Linked DNA regions of Danio rerio. The protein of the gene in region 1 purifies or fractionates together with the protein of each later gene. This does not show direct contact. Links are inferred from orthologs where the notes say so. Each region holds a gene or a part of one and is shown in the gene's direction. Other genes may lie near its edges.

The links.
Region 2: the proteins of pomk (region 1) and lrp6 purify together in Homo sapiens (affinity purification with mass spectrometry; 3 studies listed by BioGRID and IntAct, counting the BioPlex papers as one, with this or other methods). This does not show direct contact. The link is inferred for Danio rerio from reciprocal best matches to the Homo sapiens genes POMK and LRP6.
Region 3: the proteins of pomk (region 1) and tmem59 purify together in Homo sapiens (affinity purification with mass spectrometry; 3 studies listed by BioGRID and IntAct, with this or other methods). This does not show direct contact. The link is inferred for Danio rerio from reciprocal best matches to the Homo sapiens genes POMK and TMEM59.

Annotation. Positions count from the first base shown.
Region 1 is NC_133188.1:9,976,756-9,983,640, forward strand, and holds the end of pomk (protein O-mannose kinase), read left to right. Parts: intron 1-118; 5' UTR 119-132; coding exon 133-408; intron 409-3,691; coding exon 3,692-4,459; 3' UTR 4,460-4,845; downstream 4,846-6,885. UniProt on the Homo sapiens protein: Protein O-mannose kinase that specifically mediates phosphorylation at the 6-position of an O-mannose of the trisaccharide (N-acetylgalactosamine (GalNAc)-beta-1,3-N-acetylglucosamine (GlcNAc)-beta-1,4-mannose) to generate phosphorylated O-mannosyl trisaccharide (N-acetylgalactosamine-beta-1,3-N-acetylglucosamine-beta-1,4-(phosphate-6-)mannose).
Region 2 is NC_133179.1:172,405-178,113, forward strand, and holds the end of lrp6 (low-density lipoprotein receptor-related protein 6 precursor), read left to right. Parts: intron 1-343; coding exon 344-574; intron 575-893; coding exon 894-1,030; intron 1,031-3,697; coding exon 3,698-3,795; intron 3,796-3,871; coding exon 3,872-4,175; downstream 4,176-5,709. UniProt on the Homo sapiens protein: Component of the Wnt-Fzd-LRP5-LRP6 complex that triggers beta-catenin signaling through inducing aggregation of receptor-ligand complexes into ribosome-sized signalosomes.
Region 3 is NC_133177.1:29,952,899-29,958,576, reverse strand, and holds part of tmem59 (transmembrane protein 59 precursor), read left to right. Parts: intron 1-622; coding exon 623-695; intron 696-2,394; coding exon 2,395-2,527; intron 2,528-2,625; coding exon 2,626-2,746; intron 2,747-5,678.

The DNA of each region.
Region 1 (6,885 bases):
AAAAACTGTATTTTAAATAAATCTTATGAACATTTTAATATTAGTATTATTATTGTATCACAATAATATTAGTGAAATGAATTTAAAAACTCTCATCTTCGTGTGTGTTAATCAACAGGTTAAGATGTCATTATGGGTGGCACTGCTGTCGGTGGCGTCATTGGGGTGAGGTGTGGAGTTCCTGCTGTTTTGCTGTGTCTAGGAGCTCTGCTGTGCGCCAATGTGCTGCTCTATTTCTACCTGGATGCCCTGTATCAGAACACAAACCCTCCGTCAGCACACACACAATGTCCTCCTCGCCACTTTAAAGTGGGCACTATGAGCTCCTGCAGCCCTTGGTTAAAGTGTCCAGAAATCCGCTCTGGGGTTCGCCGTGTGAAGCTCATTGGACAAGGAGCTGTGAAGAAGGTGAGTTTGGTGAGATTGGTTCTGCAACAAATGTTTATTTTGATAATCAGTTAAAATCAAATTAGGGATGCAGCTAAACTTACACATTCATATTTATTGAAAGGGGAAGAGAGACTCATTTTTGACTTGACATATTTTATTACAATGTATATTTTAAATGAGATTAGAATGGACGCAGTTCATTCAGTTACTGCCACGGAATAAAAAATTAAGTAAATAATAGGAATGCTCATTTCGGTTAATTTTGCTAACCGACAACCGCCGCTCATTAATCGGTTATTAACGGTTTACTGGTCAGATTACTATTAATTTTATATTAAACAAATTGACGTGTCTATTTTGTGTCCGACACATTAAATATTGCATTTTAAAATACTGATTTATTTTTTTATGCTAGCATATTAATAATAGAACAATACAACAGAGCATTTTCACGCACCTGCAGTGTTTAGCACAGAAGAACATAATAAACTAAATAAAATAAATAGGACTGCCCTAAATTATTTTCCACTTAAATAATTAATTTATATTACAAATCGAAAACACTGACTGATTCTTTTTAATAACCGGCATAGGCTGTTTTTTTCCAATCATATTTTTGTCTTCCGTCAAATAAAATAGCTGACTATGCATTTATGCATTTATTTAATGCCCCGCTGTTATTATTATATCACAAAACATTTTTACATTTTTAATAGAATCATTATTTTAAAGATTATGTCTTGATATAGGCTATGGTTTCCTTTCTCTCCATCGCGGTTCAAGTGTGCACGCTGCGTGGTGAAAAGACAACAACAACATGCGCATATGCTGACTTTTTGTAAACAGTTTTGTTGTTTAAATATGATATTGCATTAATGTGCATACATGCTTTATAAGCTGTAAAATAAAAAGTAAAGCCTATTTGTTGCGTTTATGACGCATATCAAGGTCAACATCAGCGCTTTTTTGGCATCAACACGTCTGTTTCAAACAGCAATATTCTTCTTCCATTTTGCTTCTTTGGCAAATGTGTCTGTAAGCACGGGTTATACGTTATCGTCCCGCAAGTTAAGTATGTCTTGCAGTTGAACAAGTGGCCGACCACAGCTACGTGCTTTTTTCATTCCAAAAACGTGAGGCGCACCTCACTGCCTTTATGTTGACAAGGAAAAAAGAAGAGAAGAAGCGCGGTCCTCTTATGAAACGACTGAATCAGCTGGGTATCGATTGTGCAAAAGTGTTGCTGTCTGTGTTGTTACAATTGTATTATTTAATAATATTGTGATATTCAAGATTTGTACATTCATACAGCTCTGGATAACTTAAAACAGCGATTAGACCATCAGAGCGGTGTTAATGCGTCCTGAAGTAAAGCGAAACGGCTATAAACTCCAGCAAGATAGAGTGATTATATACAGAGCCAAATACCTTTATCTATAAATAAAGTATAACTATAGAAACTGTGTTCATCTTAACTGAAAGCTTCTGCGTGTTTGCTGTCCTCACGCATCATGCACCTGTCAGTCGGTCAGTCAGCACGTAACCCCAAATGGTTAAACAGATAGCGCACAGCACTATACGGTTACAGAAAAGTTTGTGCTGTTATTATCCACTTCTCTTTTAATACGTTTTGATGCGATTATAATCCGCTAATAAAAAACAACAACAACAATAACTGAATGTTTTGAATGGGTAATGTAGCCGTGGCGGGATGCATTTTGGTCCCTGCCATGGAAGAATGAATGTAGCAGAAACCAAGCTCTTTAAAAGTTCTCTGTAGTTGTCTTGACAAAACAAACTGCTGCTCTGGGATGAGCCGCGTGCAAAAGATGCAGCTCTTAACGCAAAGGCGCATTCAATCGGCCCCTTATGCAGCCAAAGTAAAAATATATATTATTAAGTCAGAATTGCGAGTTATAAAGTCAGAATTGCGAGTTATAAAGTCAGAATTGCGTGTAATAAAGTCAGAATTCTGAGTGATAAAGTCAGAACTATTAGTTATTAAGTCAGAATTGCGAGTGATAGTCAGAATTCTTAGTTATAAAGTTAGAATTCTTAGTTACCAAGTCAGAATTGCGAGTCATTAGATCAGCATTTTGAGTTTTTAAGTCAGAATTCAGAGTTAAGTCACAATTGTTAGTTATAAAGTCAGAATTGCGAGTTATTAAGTCAGAATTGCGAGTTACAATGTCAGAATACTTAGTTATTCAGTCCGAATTGCGAGTTATAAAGTCAAAATTATTAGTTATTAATTCAGAATTCTTAGTTTTAAAGTCAGAATTGCAAGTTTTAAATTCAGAATTTTAAGTTATAAAGTCAGAATTGCGAGTTATAATGTCAGAATTCTTAGTTATTAAGTCAGAATTGCGAGTTATAATGTCAGAATTCTTAGTTATTAAGTCAGAATTCTTAGTTTTAAAGTCAGAATTGCGAGTTTTAAATTCAGAATTTTAAGTTATAAAGTCAAAATTGCGAGTTATAATGTCAGAATTCTTAGTTATTAAGTCAGAATTGGGAGTTATAAAGTCAGAATTGCGAGTTATAATGTCAGAATTCTTAGTTATTAAGTCAGAATTGCGAGATATAATGTCAGAATTCTTAGTTTTAAAGTCAGAATTGCGAGTTTTAAATTCAGAATTTTAAGTTATAAAGTCAAAATTGCGAGTTATAATGTCAGAATTCTTAGTTATTAAGTCAGAATTGGGAGTTATAAAGTCAGAATTGCGAGTTATAAAGTCAGAATTGCGAGTTATAATGTCAGAATTCTTAGTTATTAAGTCAGAATTGCGAGATATAATGTCAGAATTCTTAGTTATTAAGTCAGAATTGCGAGTTATAAAGTCAAAATTATTAGTTATTAATTCAGAATTCTTAGTTTTAAAGTCAGAATTGCGAGTTTTAAATTCAGAATTTTAAGTTATAAAGTCAGAATTGCGAGTTATAATGTCAGAATTCTTAGTTATTTAGTCAGAATTGGGAGTTATAAAGTTAGAATTATTAGTTATTAATTCAGAATTCTTAGTTTAAAAATGACAGAATTCTTAGTTATTAAATCAGAATTCTTAGTTATAAAGACATAATTGCGAGTTTTAAAGTCAGAATTCTTAGTTTTAAAGTCAGAATTGCAAGTCATAATGTTAGAATTGCGAGTTATAAAGTCAGAATTGCGAGTTAGGTCAGAATTCAAGCTATTGCAAAGACATGTGAATTAACCCTTCAATTTTCGTGACTTAAATTGCGATGAATCAACAATCACAAATCTTGTCAGTCACATTTACCCTTTTTGCCTTTTCTTTCCTAGGTTTATCTGTCAGAGTGGCAAGGACAGAAGGTGGCGCTGTCTGTCCTGTCTTCAGATCAGTATGCAGATGACTTCCTCCATGGACTGTCAATGCTTCGTGCCTTGCAGAGCTCTCACGTGGTGACGCTGGTAGGTGTGTGTGAAGAGGACGCTGTGTTTGTTACTGAATACCACCCTCTTGGTTCAGTGCTGACGCTCGACACCACACTCGCGCAAGAACGCTATCGCTGGCGAAACTCCTGGCACACTCGCCTACAGCTGGCAATAGACTACGTGGCCTTCCTGGCATACTTGCACAGCAGTCCGGCGGGGATCAGAGTAATGTGTGACTCTAACGACCTGCACAAAACCCTCAGCCAGTTTCTTCTCGCTTCTGACATGCGTCTGTTGGCCAATGACCTGGACGCCCTGCCTGAGGTGGAGAAGGGGGGGTTAGGAGTGAAATGTGGGCATCATGAGCTCACTGGGGACTTCGTTGCTCCTGAGCAGTTGTGGCCTTATGGTGAGGATTTTTCCTTCTCAGATGAAGCCATGCCCGGGTACGACGAAAAGACGGACATCTGGAAGATTCCTGACGTGACACGCTTCCTGTTAGGGGACGTCTTGGGAGGTGATGTCATCCACTTCCACTTGTTTCAGATTTACAGCGAGTGCAAGAGGAAGGAGGCTCACATGAGGCCCACGGCCCGCGAGGTCCTGAGTGTGTATCGCTCTGTGTATGACAGTATGATGGAGAGCCAGTCGCAGAGAGTTCGAGATATGCTGTAGTGAGAGGAATCATTAAAAGGCCAGAAGTGAAAATTCTGTAGTCATTTACTTCACACATGCTTGCGTTCTTGTGAAATTTTGAGAAGTCAATGGTCACTCACTGATTATAAAAAAAACACACACACACACACATTTTGAGTCTCTATGCAGTTACATTGACCATAATTTAAGTTATGAAAGCAAACAATATACTTTTTTTTGTTTTATATTAATTATGACGTATTTAAAGGAAGACTCTTTGGCAAATAGGCTCATTTTTCAAGTCACTCAGAGTTAAACTGTTGAGTTTGATCATTTTAATCCGTTCAGCTGATCTCTGGGTCTAACAAATAGTCCAAAATCCTTGATTATTACTCCAGAATGAGAGTATAGTAAAGATTATAGAATACACATGACGTGTCACTCGTATACTTTCGAATGGGAAAAGTGAAACAGTCAATATGGCGAATGAAGCCCCGCCTTCTAGTACAGGAGCCAATCAGTGATTGATATATGGCAAATAAAGCCCACCTTTTAGTACATGAGCCAATCAGCGATCAGTATAGAATGACAATTCTCCAGGGGAGGGGCTTGGACTAGATGTGAGTTTCTGCAAATATTGTGTGATATGGACATTTATAAATGAAACTAAAAGGACAGTTACTGTTTAATTTTATTGGTTATTCATAGTATGTAATGTAATCGTAATCTTGGCTAGCAGTTTTGGAGAATTTGATGTTTACCCATTCAAACAGAATGCCTATGCATACTTCTCTAGAGGCGATTGAAAGATGTCCGCCGAGTGAAATGACCTGCCTTAAAGGGACTTTGAGTATAGTTACTAGCCATGTCAAGCTGGTCTTGGTGCATACTTTAACTACACAAGAGTCAAGTTTTACTTGGAAAAACTCTTTGGAATTGTTTGAGCGAGATGCTAATGGTCTAATCTGATTCAAGGATCTATGCTAAGCTAAGCTAAAAGTTCTTCTGTCAGACCCGGAGTTTGTCTAGAATAGATTTAAAGAGCCTCTATTATACATTAAAAAGGAGGGGGGGTCTCCAACAACAGGCTGATGTGCATTCAAGGTCAAATAACACTTTCATTGTCTTAGAATACGCATTTATTATTACCTAATTATCCCAGCGACTCACATTTCGCAATTAATTTGTACCTAAACCCCTCCCTAACGTGATGCTAATCTGCACTGATTGGTCCTATGGTACTCTGTTGTGATTGGTTGACAGTGTTTAGCGCAAGACAGAGAGAAATGCCCACCATGGCTTATCAACAATATTGAAGTAGTCAGAGTGCAGAGTGTATGTGTGAGTATACCTGCCAACACTCACGTTTTTCTCAGTAGTCTCCCGTAATTTCAGACCCATCTCCCGCCACCCTCCCATTTTGTTATTTATCCCGGAAAACTCATGATGGCCATAGCAACGACATGCACCAGTGGATTGCAGTGAATCGCATTTACTTACACTTGTGAAATGGAGGAAGAAACTGGTCCATGAACTGTGTACTATAAAGTTCCTGTTAAGCTCTGACAAAGTCCCACACATCAATAGTCTTTTCTGATCCTTCTTTTAACAACCAGCCAATGAATCCGCTGTTGTAAGCGTGTAGATTGCTGAAGCACTTGTCAGAAAAATGACAAGAATACAGCACAAGCCTGGGCTGTAATGCTGAGGTATTATTGCAAAAATAAACCTCAACCACTGACTCTTCACTGTTTCATCTTTGAGTAGAGAAAATAACACTAACTTTCCCCTCACACTTCAGAGCACAGCGTCTTCGTGACATGATTCAACTGGCGTCTGCTACAGTGTCCTTTTTTTTTTGGCTACTGTGTTTGTGGGCGGGGCCGGGGTTTTAAAATTTTCCCGGCATTGCACGTGCAACAAATGGGTGGGGCTCAAGTTCCATATTCTTGTCACGCCAGCACAGCTAAAGACTCGTTATCAAGACGATTAATTTGAAGCACTGCGAGTTGACTCTTTTATAAATGAATCAACAGTTTTAAACACTGCACACTTGCAGATTTAAGTCTTACCTGGATAATTCACTTCACTTAGAGCTGTGTTACACAATACATGGAAGGTCATTCTCAAAAACCCATAATAGAGGCTCTTTAAAAAAAAAAAAAAGGAAAAGTCTGTCATCATTTCTGATTTTACTCTGTTGAACATAAAAAAAGATATTTTTAATAATGCTGAAAACCTTAATCATTGATGGTCAGTAGTTTTTTTCCTGCTATGGAAGTCAATAGCTAGAGGTTTTCAGCATTATTGAAAATGTCTGCTTTTGTGTTTAACAGAAGAAAGAAACTCATAACGATTTCAAATATGCAGAGGGTGAGTAAATGATGGAATCATTTTTATTTTTACTATTAATTTCACTGTTAATTTAAGTGATTGAGGTTAATTTCAAAGCCTCACAAAAATAC
Region 2 (5,709 bases), on another chromosome or scaffold:
ATGATCAGCTGGAGAACTGGACTCTGGTCCTCCTCATGTCAGTGAGTGCAGCAGTGGATGTGCTGGGGTGAGTGTGTGGTTATAATGGGGGTCAGTGGGCAGATCATCAGCACAGGAGAGTCCGGCTGAACACTGTGTGTTGATCATCTCCTCTAAATGTGTGTGTGAGAGTCAGATCAGTCAGCAGAATCCTGAAACACAGAGAGACACATGAGGACTCCACATCAACCCAGAGTGATGGAGATCACCCAGCAGGGTTACCACAGTGATGAGTGTGATGATGCGTGTTTATGATGATGGTGCTCTGACGTGTGTGTGTGTGTGTGTGTGTGTGTGTGTTCAGATGCGACAGAGGAGCCGTCGTTTGCTCCCACTAACACCATCGGCTCAATCGTGGGTGTGGTGATGGTGCTGTTCGTGGTCGGCGCGGTGTATTTCGTGTGCCAGCGCGTGCTCTGCCCGCAGATGAAGGACGACGCCGACACCATGACCAATGACTTCGTGGTTCACGGACCGCCGCCGGTGCCGCTGGGATACGTCCCACACCCCGCATCCCTGAGCGGATCACTGCCAGGTGGAGCTCCAACAACACTCACACTGACGAGAAGCGTGTGTGTGTGTGTGTGAGATACTAGTGTGTGTGTGAGATACTAGTGTGTGTGTGAGATGCTTGTGTGTGTGTGTGTGTGTAAGATGCTTGTGTGTGTGTGAGATACTAGTGTGTGTGTGTGTGTGAGATACTAGTGTGTGTGTGTGTGTGTGTGTGTGTGTGTGAGATTAATATGATTATTTCTGAGTGTTTTATTGTTATTTGTGTGTGTTCATGAACAATAAACATGAATAATTAAAGTGTGTGTGTGTTTGTGTGTGTGTGTGTGTGTGTGTGTGTTCAGGCATGTCCAGAGGGAAGTCAGTCATGGGCTCGCTGAGCATCATGGGAGGCAGCAGTGGACCACCGTACGACCGCGCTCATGTGACCGGAGCCTCGTCCAGCAGCTCGTCCAGCACTAAAGGAGCATATTTCCCTCCGGTACACACACACACACACACACACACACACACACACACACACACACACACACACACAGCTGTTTCAGTACTTCTGCCAGAGCTGTTACTGTGCCCGTGATGTCCCCCTTCCACATTAAGGCTGATTTGCCTCAAGTGCCCGTGTGTGTGTGTGTGTGTGTGTGTGTGTGTGTGTGTGTGCTCCGATGCAGCCTGCGCATGCTCACACAGCCCTCGCCGTGGCTGATGATGCTCAGAAATATAAGTACATATCGCAACGACATCACAAGCTGTGTGTCTGTGAGGAGAGTGGGCCTGATGGCGTGAGTGTGTATGAGTGTGTACGAGTGTGTATGAGTGTGTATGAGTGTGTATGAGTGTGCAGGGCTCGAAATTGACTTTTTTACTTGGTAGCACCGGTGCTCCCAACTTCAAATATTTAGGAGCACCAGAAAAAATTTAGGAGCACCACCAAAAATGAATGAGCACCGCTGCAAATTGTTTTTTAAGGGATTTATTGTATTTTAAAACAACATCAATAGGACTGACAAAAACCAGAAACAGCTATCTAACTAATGCTGCGAAGACTTTGATATTTGTGTGCAATAATTCCAAAATGAATGTCTAATAATTAGGCCATAGAATATTAATGATGATGAAAATGACAATAATAGTAACAATGAATAACATTTCTCATTATGATGCTGCCTTGAATGTGCATGAATGTAGGTTATCTGCTATAAAAAGTCTGTTACTTTATGAAAAATAATTGTATAGTTTGCATCAAACCAAAATGAAGCATTGCAGTAAGAAATATTTATTTTGTGCTGCTGTTTTTATATGCATGTCAATTTAATAAATAATATTTCTGCTACAAAACAAACAAAAGATTATAATAAATCATTCAATTCAATGATGAAAGCTGCAAAGCAGTCATCAGTAAATAAATAAAAAAATAATATACACCTCAAACAAGAATAGACAAAAGAAAGTAAGTAAAGTCTCACTTCTATCACTCTTTAAAAGTTTTGGTTTCAGTTTGTGTCAATTTAAAGGTTCAGTCTGAGCTGATCTTCATTTTTCTGTGTTAGTGGAAAAGCAGGCGAGTCAGCCGACCCAATTTATGAGCAGGCAGAGCAGGATTCTTGCGCTAACCTTCGGCGCAATACCGGTCTTTGTTATGAGCCGCAGTTTCAGTGTAAACTTAGTAAAGGCGAGCTTCTTTGGCGATGATATGTACAGTATTAGATTTGACTTTTAGCGGACATTTGCGCTGAACACGCAGTGAACGGAACGCATCGAGATTCGGGCACCTTCTCCAAGAAGCGCATACTCGATTGATCTCAGCTGGCGGATCAATATTCACCACGTGACGTGTCATGATCGCTCTCATCTGCGCCTCAACTTTAGGTGGGGTTTGCAAACCTGTGCGCTTTAAGTTTTCAATATTCAGCCATTTGCATTTCCCGTGGTCATAAAAGCTCCTTCCCTGTCATCTGACAGCGGAATACCTTGAGTGATTGACAGCTAATATGAACCAATATAGCGGCAGAGAAGAGCGATTCAGCACGTTTTTACAAAAAATCAAAACAGGTCGCACTACAACTATTATCTGCAGTCGCACTAATGCTCCATATATATTATGAGGTCGCATAGATTAATTTTCGGGTGCATATGTGACCAAAATGGTCGCAATTTCGAGCCCTGGTGTGTACGAGTGTGTACGAGTGTGTACGAGTGTGTACGAGTGTGTACGAGTGTGTACGAGTGTGTACGAGTGTGTACGAGTGTGTACGAGTGTGTATGAGTGTGGAGTCTGGTGAAGGAGCTGCAGATGGACACTGGTGTTCTGTGTTCACCTCAATCTCTTCATATTAATAGTCTGCATTACCAGAACAGATCATACTTTCAGTGTAATGCTGTCATGAAATATGATGACAGACATTCAAGACAGCTTACTTTAATACCTCAATAGAAGCTTTAAATGTAAATATGACGTCTCATGTGGGAACGGTCAGGATGAGCAGTGTGGTAATCTAATAGTTCTGCTGTTAATATAGCCCACTCTCGTGTCTGTTAATGCAGAATGAAGCGAGCGCATCGATGCCCGTTCTGGCCAATCACAGACGTTTCTGTTGAGCTCCTGAGCACCATGGCCAGTCAGCACATGCTGATCTGCTCTCTCATTGGCTGCGGCTCGTCACTACATCTGACCATGCGTGGGGTGGAGTCGGCCGACTGTTCTGGAATATTCAGCATGCTAGATTATTAAATTTACATCTGTGAGGTGTCGGTGACGCTTCAGCGAGCCTCTTAGATGCATTGTTCAGTAGTTCACACATAAACACTGCCGAGCGCTGAGCACCTGTAGATTTTCCCCAATCACAGCCGATCTGTCGGAGAGCAAGGTAACTTCCAAATCAGGCTCAATCGGGTTTAAATCCTGCAGTGTGAACTCAATGTTAGGCACCGTCTGACAGTGGGAATGGCCATGAGAGTGTCCTGACCTGATCTGACCGGACCTGCAGCACTCAGTGAAGCGGGCCTCTAGTGTTCAGGGATAGGGAAGGCGGTGTTATGGAGAAGTGTTCCTGCAGGTGGTTTGTCAGCTCCACTCAGCTGTGTGAGGCTCTCTCTATAACACACAGTGAGTTGATGATGTATGTGTAATGTCTCTGCTGTTCTGCAGATCCTGAACCCTCCTCCATCTCCAGCCACCGTCAGGTCTCAGTACACCATGGAGTTCGGCTACTCCTCCAACAGCCCGTCAACACACCGCTCCTACAGGTAACATGTCCTCTGCCCATCACGCGTTTAATGCTAAACCTCTGTATGCTAACATGCTAATGTGTGTGTTGTGCAGCTATCGGCCGTACAGTTACCGCCACTTCGCTCCTCCGACGACGCCGTGCAGCACGGATGTGTGCGACAGTGACTATACGCCGGGCCGCCGGGCTCCGCACGCATCCAGCGCCACTGCTGCTAAAGGCTACGCTAGCGACCTGAACTACGACTCGGAGCCGCTGCCGCCGCCGCCCACGCCGCGCAGCCAGTACCTGTCGGCGGAGGAGAACTGCGAGAGCTGCCCGCCGTCACCGTACACCGAGCGCAGCTACTCGCACCAGCTGTACCCGCCGCCGCCCTCGCCCTGCACAGACTCCTCCTGAGCCCCGCCCCCTGCGCGCCAGGCCCCGCCCCCACTGCCTCTGTACATATATATAAGTGACTGTGTCTCGCTGAAGGACAGCTGAGGGCTCTGGCGGCGCTGTACAGTAAGAGAAGAGCATATTTATATATTTCTATACAGTGTTGCCGCGGTTACCCACACGTGGACACTGATGAAGAGAGATTTATCAGACCCACACACACACACACACACGCACACGCTGCCTTAATCTGACTCACACGCGTGTGGTGTCCATGCCAAATAGTTCCTGAGCCGCGCGGCGGCGCCCCCTGCAGGCTCTACACTGTGACGCGGCGGCGCGCTTATTTTTATACTGTTTTATATGAGAGACGAGGAGGAGCCAATCAGCACACACCTCCCGCCCACCTGCTGGCGTAACACACAATCACGGCGGCGACTCGTGCCTGAGCGGTTACACACACACACACACACACACACACACACACACACACACACACACACACACACACACACACACACACACACACACACTCTTGCCGCCGTTTTCCACTTTTCTACATGAGTGCCAGAAGAGCTCTGCTATTTTTATACCGCACACTGTACATATCCTGTATTTATAAGCTATCAGAGGACGAGCAGCCGCGCACGTGTGTGTGTGTGTGTGTGTGTGTGTGTGTGTGTGTGTGTGTGTGTGTGTGTGTGTGTGTATGTGTGAGAGAGAGCTCCGGTCTAAGCTTTAGATTTCCCATAATGCATTGGTGTGTGTGTGTGTGTGTGTGTGTGTGTGTGTGTGTGTGTGTGTGTGTGTGTGTGTGTGTGTGTGTGTGTGTGTGTGTGTTTGTAGCACTTCTGGATCCTCTGAGTGTTCATAAAGGGAAACTCACCAGCACAGACCCCCCCCCCCCTCCCCCACATTACCCAGCATGCACCAGTCTTGCTCTGGGTGTTTGGTTACGCATGTCTGTGCCTTCACTTTATCACTAAACTTGTGTGTGCGTGTGTGTGTGTGTGTGTCAGTAACTGCTTCTCCAAATCTCCCGCTCTTTACTGGCCTGCTCTGCAAGGGCTTCTGGGTAATGCCATGCTCTGTGTTCCTGTGGTTCTGCTCACACCAGCGACTCATCTTCTGCACTTTACAGGAGCGGTGCATCCTCACTGTGTGTGTGTGTGTGTGTGTGTGTGTGTGTGCGTGCGTGTGTGTTAATCATCGTCTGCTCCTCATCAGTCTGCTTCTCCATGATGTCCAGTTGTTGTTAGTGTGTGTGTGTGTGTGTGTGTGTGTGTGTGTGTGTGTACAGCTCCTCGTCGCTCCTCCTCTGGTCTATAAGCTGTTGTAATGATTCAGATGATCTTGTTTTTGTTTTTTTAAATAAACTAAGTGAACTTTTCCTCCGTGTGTGTGTGTGTGTGTGTGTGTGTGCGTGCGTGTGTGTGCGTGCGTGATCATGTACAGTACTGTTGAGCTCTGATTAGTACAGTTGAGGATTAAAGCTGCTGTGTGTGAGTGTGTGTGTCTACTGAAGCATGACACCAGCATCATGTGTGTGCAGATA
Region 3 (5,678 bases), on another chromosome or scaffold:
GTGCATGCAATATAACAATATAACAGGCATTGTGTTTATTTTATTTTTGTTAGCTGTGTGTTGAAATGAAAATGCATTTTTATATCATATTGTCAGTTTTAATACTTCTTTTGCTTTTACTGCTCTTCCCTCAAACAATAACAAGAGGAATCTTTTATTTTTGTAGTTCTGCATTTAAATCTAGACAATAAAAGTGAAGTTTGTTTTTGTAAAAAATGCATTTGTATATAATATTGTCAGATATAATACCTCTTCAACTTTTACTGCTCATCCCTTGAGTCCTATCCCTTGAGTCATGTCTATATATCTGTTTATTTGTAGTTTTGTAGAATTTAGATATTGTACATGAGTAATTTAATAAGTGTAATATTAATATAATACATAATTATTTATAGTAATATAAGTGAGATTTTATATAATACACCTCTTTTACTTTCACTGTTCTTACCATGAAGCGTGTCTTCATTTTTAATCTGTTTTTATTTTAACATTAGTTTTATTTTACATTGAAATCAAACTGAAATAAGTTTGATCTAAAATAATTAATAGAAAGTTAATTTTCATGCCTATGTCTGGGAAAAGAAAATATCAAATCAGGATTTGTTCTTTCTGTCATTTCAAGTCTGAGCCGCAAGTCCAGTATATCTCTCAGTTTGAGTTCCAGAGAGACGAGACAGAGGAGCCACAGAACACTTGTAAGCACTTGCATCACACATGTTTTCAGTCTTTAACATTAATGATTGCCATTAGGGATGTCAAGATCTGATCACGTGATCGGAAATCGGGCCCAATCACGCGGTTTTAGATTTGATCGGAATCGGACGTTACCTCAAAATTAGGACTCAAATAAATATAGAATTATATTTAGAGTTGAAGTCAGAGCAGGGAAATGTTCACAGTATGTCTGATAATATTTTGTTCATCTGGAGAAAGTCTTATTTGTTTTATTTCGACTAGAATAAAACAGTTTTTAATTTTTATTATAACACCATTTTAGGGGCAAAATTATTAGCCTCCTTTAGCTATATATTTTTTTGATTGTCTAAAGAACAAACCATCGTTATACAATAACTTGCCTAATTACCCTAACCTGCCTAGTTGACCTAATTAACCTCGTTAAGCCTTTAAATGTCACTTTAAGCTGTTTTGAAGTGTCTTGAAAAACATCTAGTAAAATATTATGTATTATCATCATGGCAAAGATAAAATAAATCAGTTATTAGAGATGAGTTATTAAAACTATTATGTTTAGAAATGTGTTGATAAAATCTTCTCTCCGTTAAACAGAAATTGGGGGGGAAAAAATAAACAGGGTTAATAATTCAGGGGAGCTAATAATTCTGACTTCAACTGTATGTATATGTATGTCATTATTTTTTTAATACATCTATAGTTATGCTGTGGCACAGAGTTAGACCTCTTTCGTAACTTCACCCTGAAGCAGCAACGCGTGGGGCGTGACATCATTTTGTTGCAGAGACGCTATTGGTTAAATGCCGGCAGCAAAGTAGAACACGGAAGCAGCTTGAAGTGGAAAGTGCGAGTATGTCTGCGTTCTGGAGGTATTATAAAGTTGATGATGACAACATGGCCATTGCAAACTGTAAAATCTGTAAACTTGGGATTGCCTGCAGCTTGCCGGGTATTTTAAGTTGAGGTGCTATTTGTGCTTATATTAGATTTTTTTATTATATATTTACTGCTGCACTAAAATATAGAAGTGAAGAATTGTTCAAGCTACCTCACAGAAGTGCTGTTTGTTAACAGAGTTGTTGAAGGTTTAAAATAAGATGAATTAAATAAAAAAAATAAGAAGCGTCCTGGAAATTTTTCTTTGCTATTCTTTTATTAACGTATCATAGAAGTATCGGATCGGGTTTTGGTAACTGTAGATTCTCAAAATCTAAGATTTGTTCTGAAATGCACAAATGTTCTGCTTCGGCTTTTATTCTAATGATTCTTTTTGATAAAACAGAAAGAAACAGACAGTACTGGTACTCTATAAAAATAACTTATTTTAAAAATTATAACAACTTGCGACTGCACTAATATTCCGGCTTGTGTAAAAATGACATTATCCAGAGATAATTTTGCTTTGAGAACTGGATTTATAGAGTAATTTAGCTTGGGCTTCCTCACACAGTGAATGTTTTAGTACTTTGTTTTTCACTAAATAAAAGACGCTTTATATGTCAGTTTGCATATCGTTAAAACATCCATTACAAAAGGATCATAGACGATACATATTTGCACACCCCTAAACGTGATGTTATTAAATATGTAAATGAATAACTGGAGCACTAAAACCTGTCACCTTTTGTCTACACATTCTTAGCATCATTCTCCAAAGAAGTGTTTCAGGATCACAAAACTGACCCGCTGTGTTTTTAACAGTTATAGATGAGGGAGCGAAAAACCCCATTTATAAAGACTACCCTCGGAGCTTCATTCAGGAGAGAGACAGAGACATGTTCATGGACAGAAGTGGCTCTGAGGACGACTGCAATCTCTTCGGCTGTCTCTCAAGGTTGGCCTCTTCTTCTCCATTTGGATTTTCTGAACTCTTATTAATGATTGCAGTCTGTTGTTCTTGTTGAAGCTAAACCCTCTTGATCTTGTGTGCAGCAGAAACCCGTGGCTGCCCGGCTGGATCTTGACCACCACTCTGATTCTGTCTGTGCTGGTTCTGATCTGGATCTGTTGTGCCACAGTGTCCACTGCTGCAGAGCAATACGTCCCTGCTGAGGTAAAATGCTTTTGATTGGATTCAAATGGACTCTGGTGCAATTTCTCTGTTTGTATCTAAACTAGGAACGAAACAAGGGAAACTTTGATGATTGATTAATTGATAATACAACATCTAATGGATGGTTGGTTAAGCATAATATGTCAATAATGTAAATAATTCAGAGGAGTTTGTGGCTTAGTCAACTCAAAAATATTTCTGACACCAGCTCTCATTTTTTATGTTTTTACTAGTCGGTGCAGGGCCCTACAGTTGATTCATGTAAGCGAGGATAGAATTCATAGAGTGGAATAAATAGCAACAGGAAGTGAAGAGAAATGAGAAAAGCGAGTCTGAGAAAATGTTGAAGTTCGGGTTTGCATGAATCTAGTTGACAGCAAAGACTGCAGGCTGTCTTTGAGGAACAACAAAGTATTGGTAGTTGTCTGAATTACTCTTGGCTGATTGCAATGCATTACATTTCGATCAAAGTTATCTGACATTATCTGGATGAATTTGTTCAGACAAAGTTTTAGGTTCTTGTCAGATTTTATTTCAGTTTTCCATACTGATGATGTGAAAAAAGTTGTCTAAGGCCCCGTTTACACTAATGCGTTTTAGTTTGAAAACGCATAAGTTTTGCTACGGTTACGCCAACCGTCCACACTACGCCGGAGTTCTCGAGCGCCGAAAACGGAGCGTTTCGAAAACGCTGGAGAGGCCGTTTTCATTCTGAAACGCTGCTGCTCCGTCTCAGTGTGGATAATGGAAAACGGAGACATCTGAAAACGGAGACGGGGCTGCTGACATTCGCCTCTCTGATTGGGGCTTTTCCTGAATATTAAGTAGCCTAACACACACAGTTCAGTCCTGCATTTTCTCCTTGTAAGTTCAGACTTCGCAAGTTTGATCAAGGCTGCAGTCTCTTCTTCTCAGTTTGATATGGAAAACAGACTATACCGAGGACACGGGTAAATCTTCAAAGGGAACAGTGTACTTTATAACTTCATTCACATCACCCTGGCTACGTTGTTTCACTTTCTCAACAATAAATTGTATACATGATTTAAGGAACTGCCTATTTTTATTTTAATATTAACAACTTAACAGACTGCAGAAATGTTGAGGCGCCGTGCTGTATATATGAGCGTCATCTTCACTGTGTGGATATTTATAACAAAACGGAGCCGATAACAACTGCCTCCTTTCAATTTCAGTGAAAATACGAAACACACCCTCTCTTTTGCTAAATATCAGTTTTAATAATCGATAATGGCCATTATAAAAGTATAACATACAATAAGTTTATACATTATAGGAAATAAAGGCAAGCGATCAGTCAATTTACAGAATAGGCTACGTTGTTTCATCAATCATTAACTTATCTTTGCGCTCAGCCAAAACACGTTACCTGAGAAAAAGTAAGATTCTAATGACCAAAGTCAGGGAATATGTCGTTAGATAAAGACAACAAGATGAATGAAATATCTCGTTTAATAAATATAGTGAGATATTAGATCCAGCGGTAGATGCTTGATGAGAAGTCCGACTAGCAGAGCTCTCATCTGGGTAGATGAGCTGCAGCGCTTGCCAGAGAGTGTCTGTGTGGTCACGTGATGTGCGTTTTCAGGACGGAGAGCAGTTCAGAAACGCTGGGTAAAACGCGATTGTGGACGCGGATCGTTTTCATTCTAAAACGCTGTTTTAAAACTAAAACGCACTAGTGTAAACGGCGCCTAAATTCTTCTGGTTTGTCTATTTGTGCAAAACATTTACAGCAGATTCGAGGGTAAAATGAAGCTTAAGCACATACGAGTTTATTTGAAACTCTGATTCTATGTTTGGAATAACAGAATGGGCATTACGTTACTGTCCAGGGTTGCTGTGTTATATTGCATTGCATAGTGTTGCATTATATTGTTGCGTTACATTACATTGTTGAATTGTGTAGCATTACATTGTTACGTTGCAATACATTGTGTTCAATTGCATTATATTCTTTTGTTTTGTTTCCTTGTTACGTTACCTTGCTAGGTTATCGTATGTTACAACTCTTCCTTATGTTACATTTTCTAATGTTATGTTTCCTTATGTTACGTTTCCTTATTAAGTTACCTTATGTTTTATTACTTTGTCAGATTTACCTTATGTTACGTTTCCTTGTTACAATGTTTCCTTATGTTATGTTACCGTGTTACAATGTTTTCTTGTTACGTTACCGTATGTTACGTTATCATATGTTACAACTTTTCCTTATGTTACATTTTCTTGTTACGTTACCTTATGTTATGTTACCTTGTTGCAACGTTTCCTTATGTTGTTACCATGTTACAATGTTTCCTTGTTACGTTACTGTATGTTAGGTTAAGATGTTACAACTTTTCCTTGTTACGTTACCTTGTTACGTTTTCTAATGTTACGTAACTTTGATATGTTTCCTTTTGTTACGTTTCCTTGTTACACTACCTTATGTTACGTTATCATGTTACAACTTTTCCTTGTTATGTTTCCTTGTTACGTTTCCTTGATACAATGTTTCCTTGTTAAGTTCCCTTGTTGCAACGTGTCCTTATGTTATGTTACCTTGTTCCAATATGTCCTTGTTACGTTACCGTATGTTACGTTATCGTATGTTACAACTTTTCTTTGTTACGTTTCCTTGTAATGTTTCCTTGTTACGTTTTCTTATGTTACCTTGTTACATTTTTTAATGCTACGTAACTTTGTTACATTTCCTTGTAATGTTTCTTTGTTACAATACCTTTATTATGTTATTACATTACGTTATTGTGTTACAACTTTTCCTTATGTTATGTTTCCTTGTTACATTATTGTTTGTTACAACTTTTCCTCATGTTACATTTCCTTGTTACGTTTCCTTATGTAACGCTTGCTTATGTTGTTTCCATATGTTACGTTACCATATGCTACATTACACTTTGTTTCGTTTTTT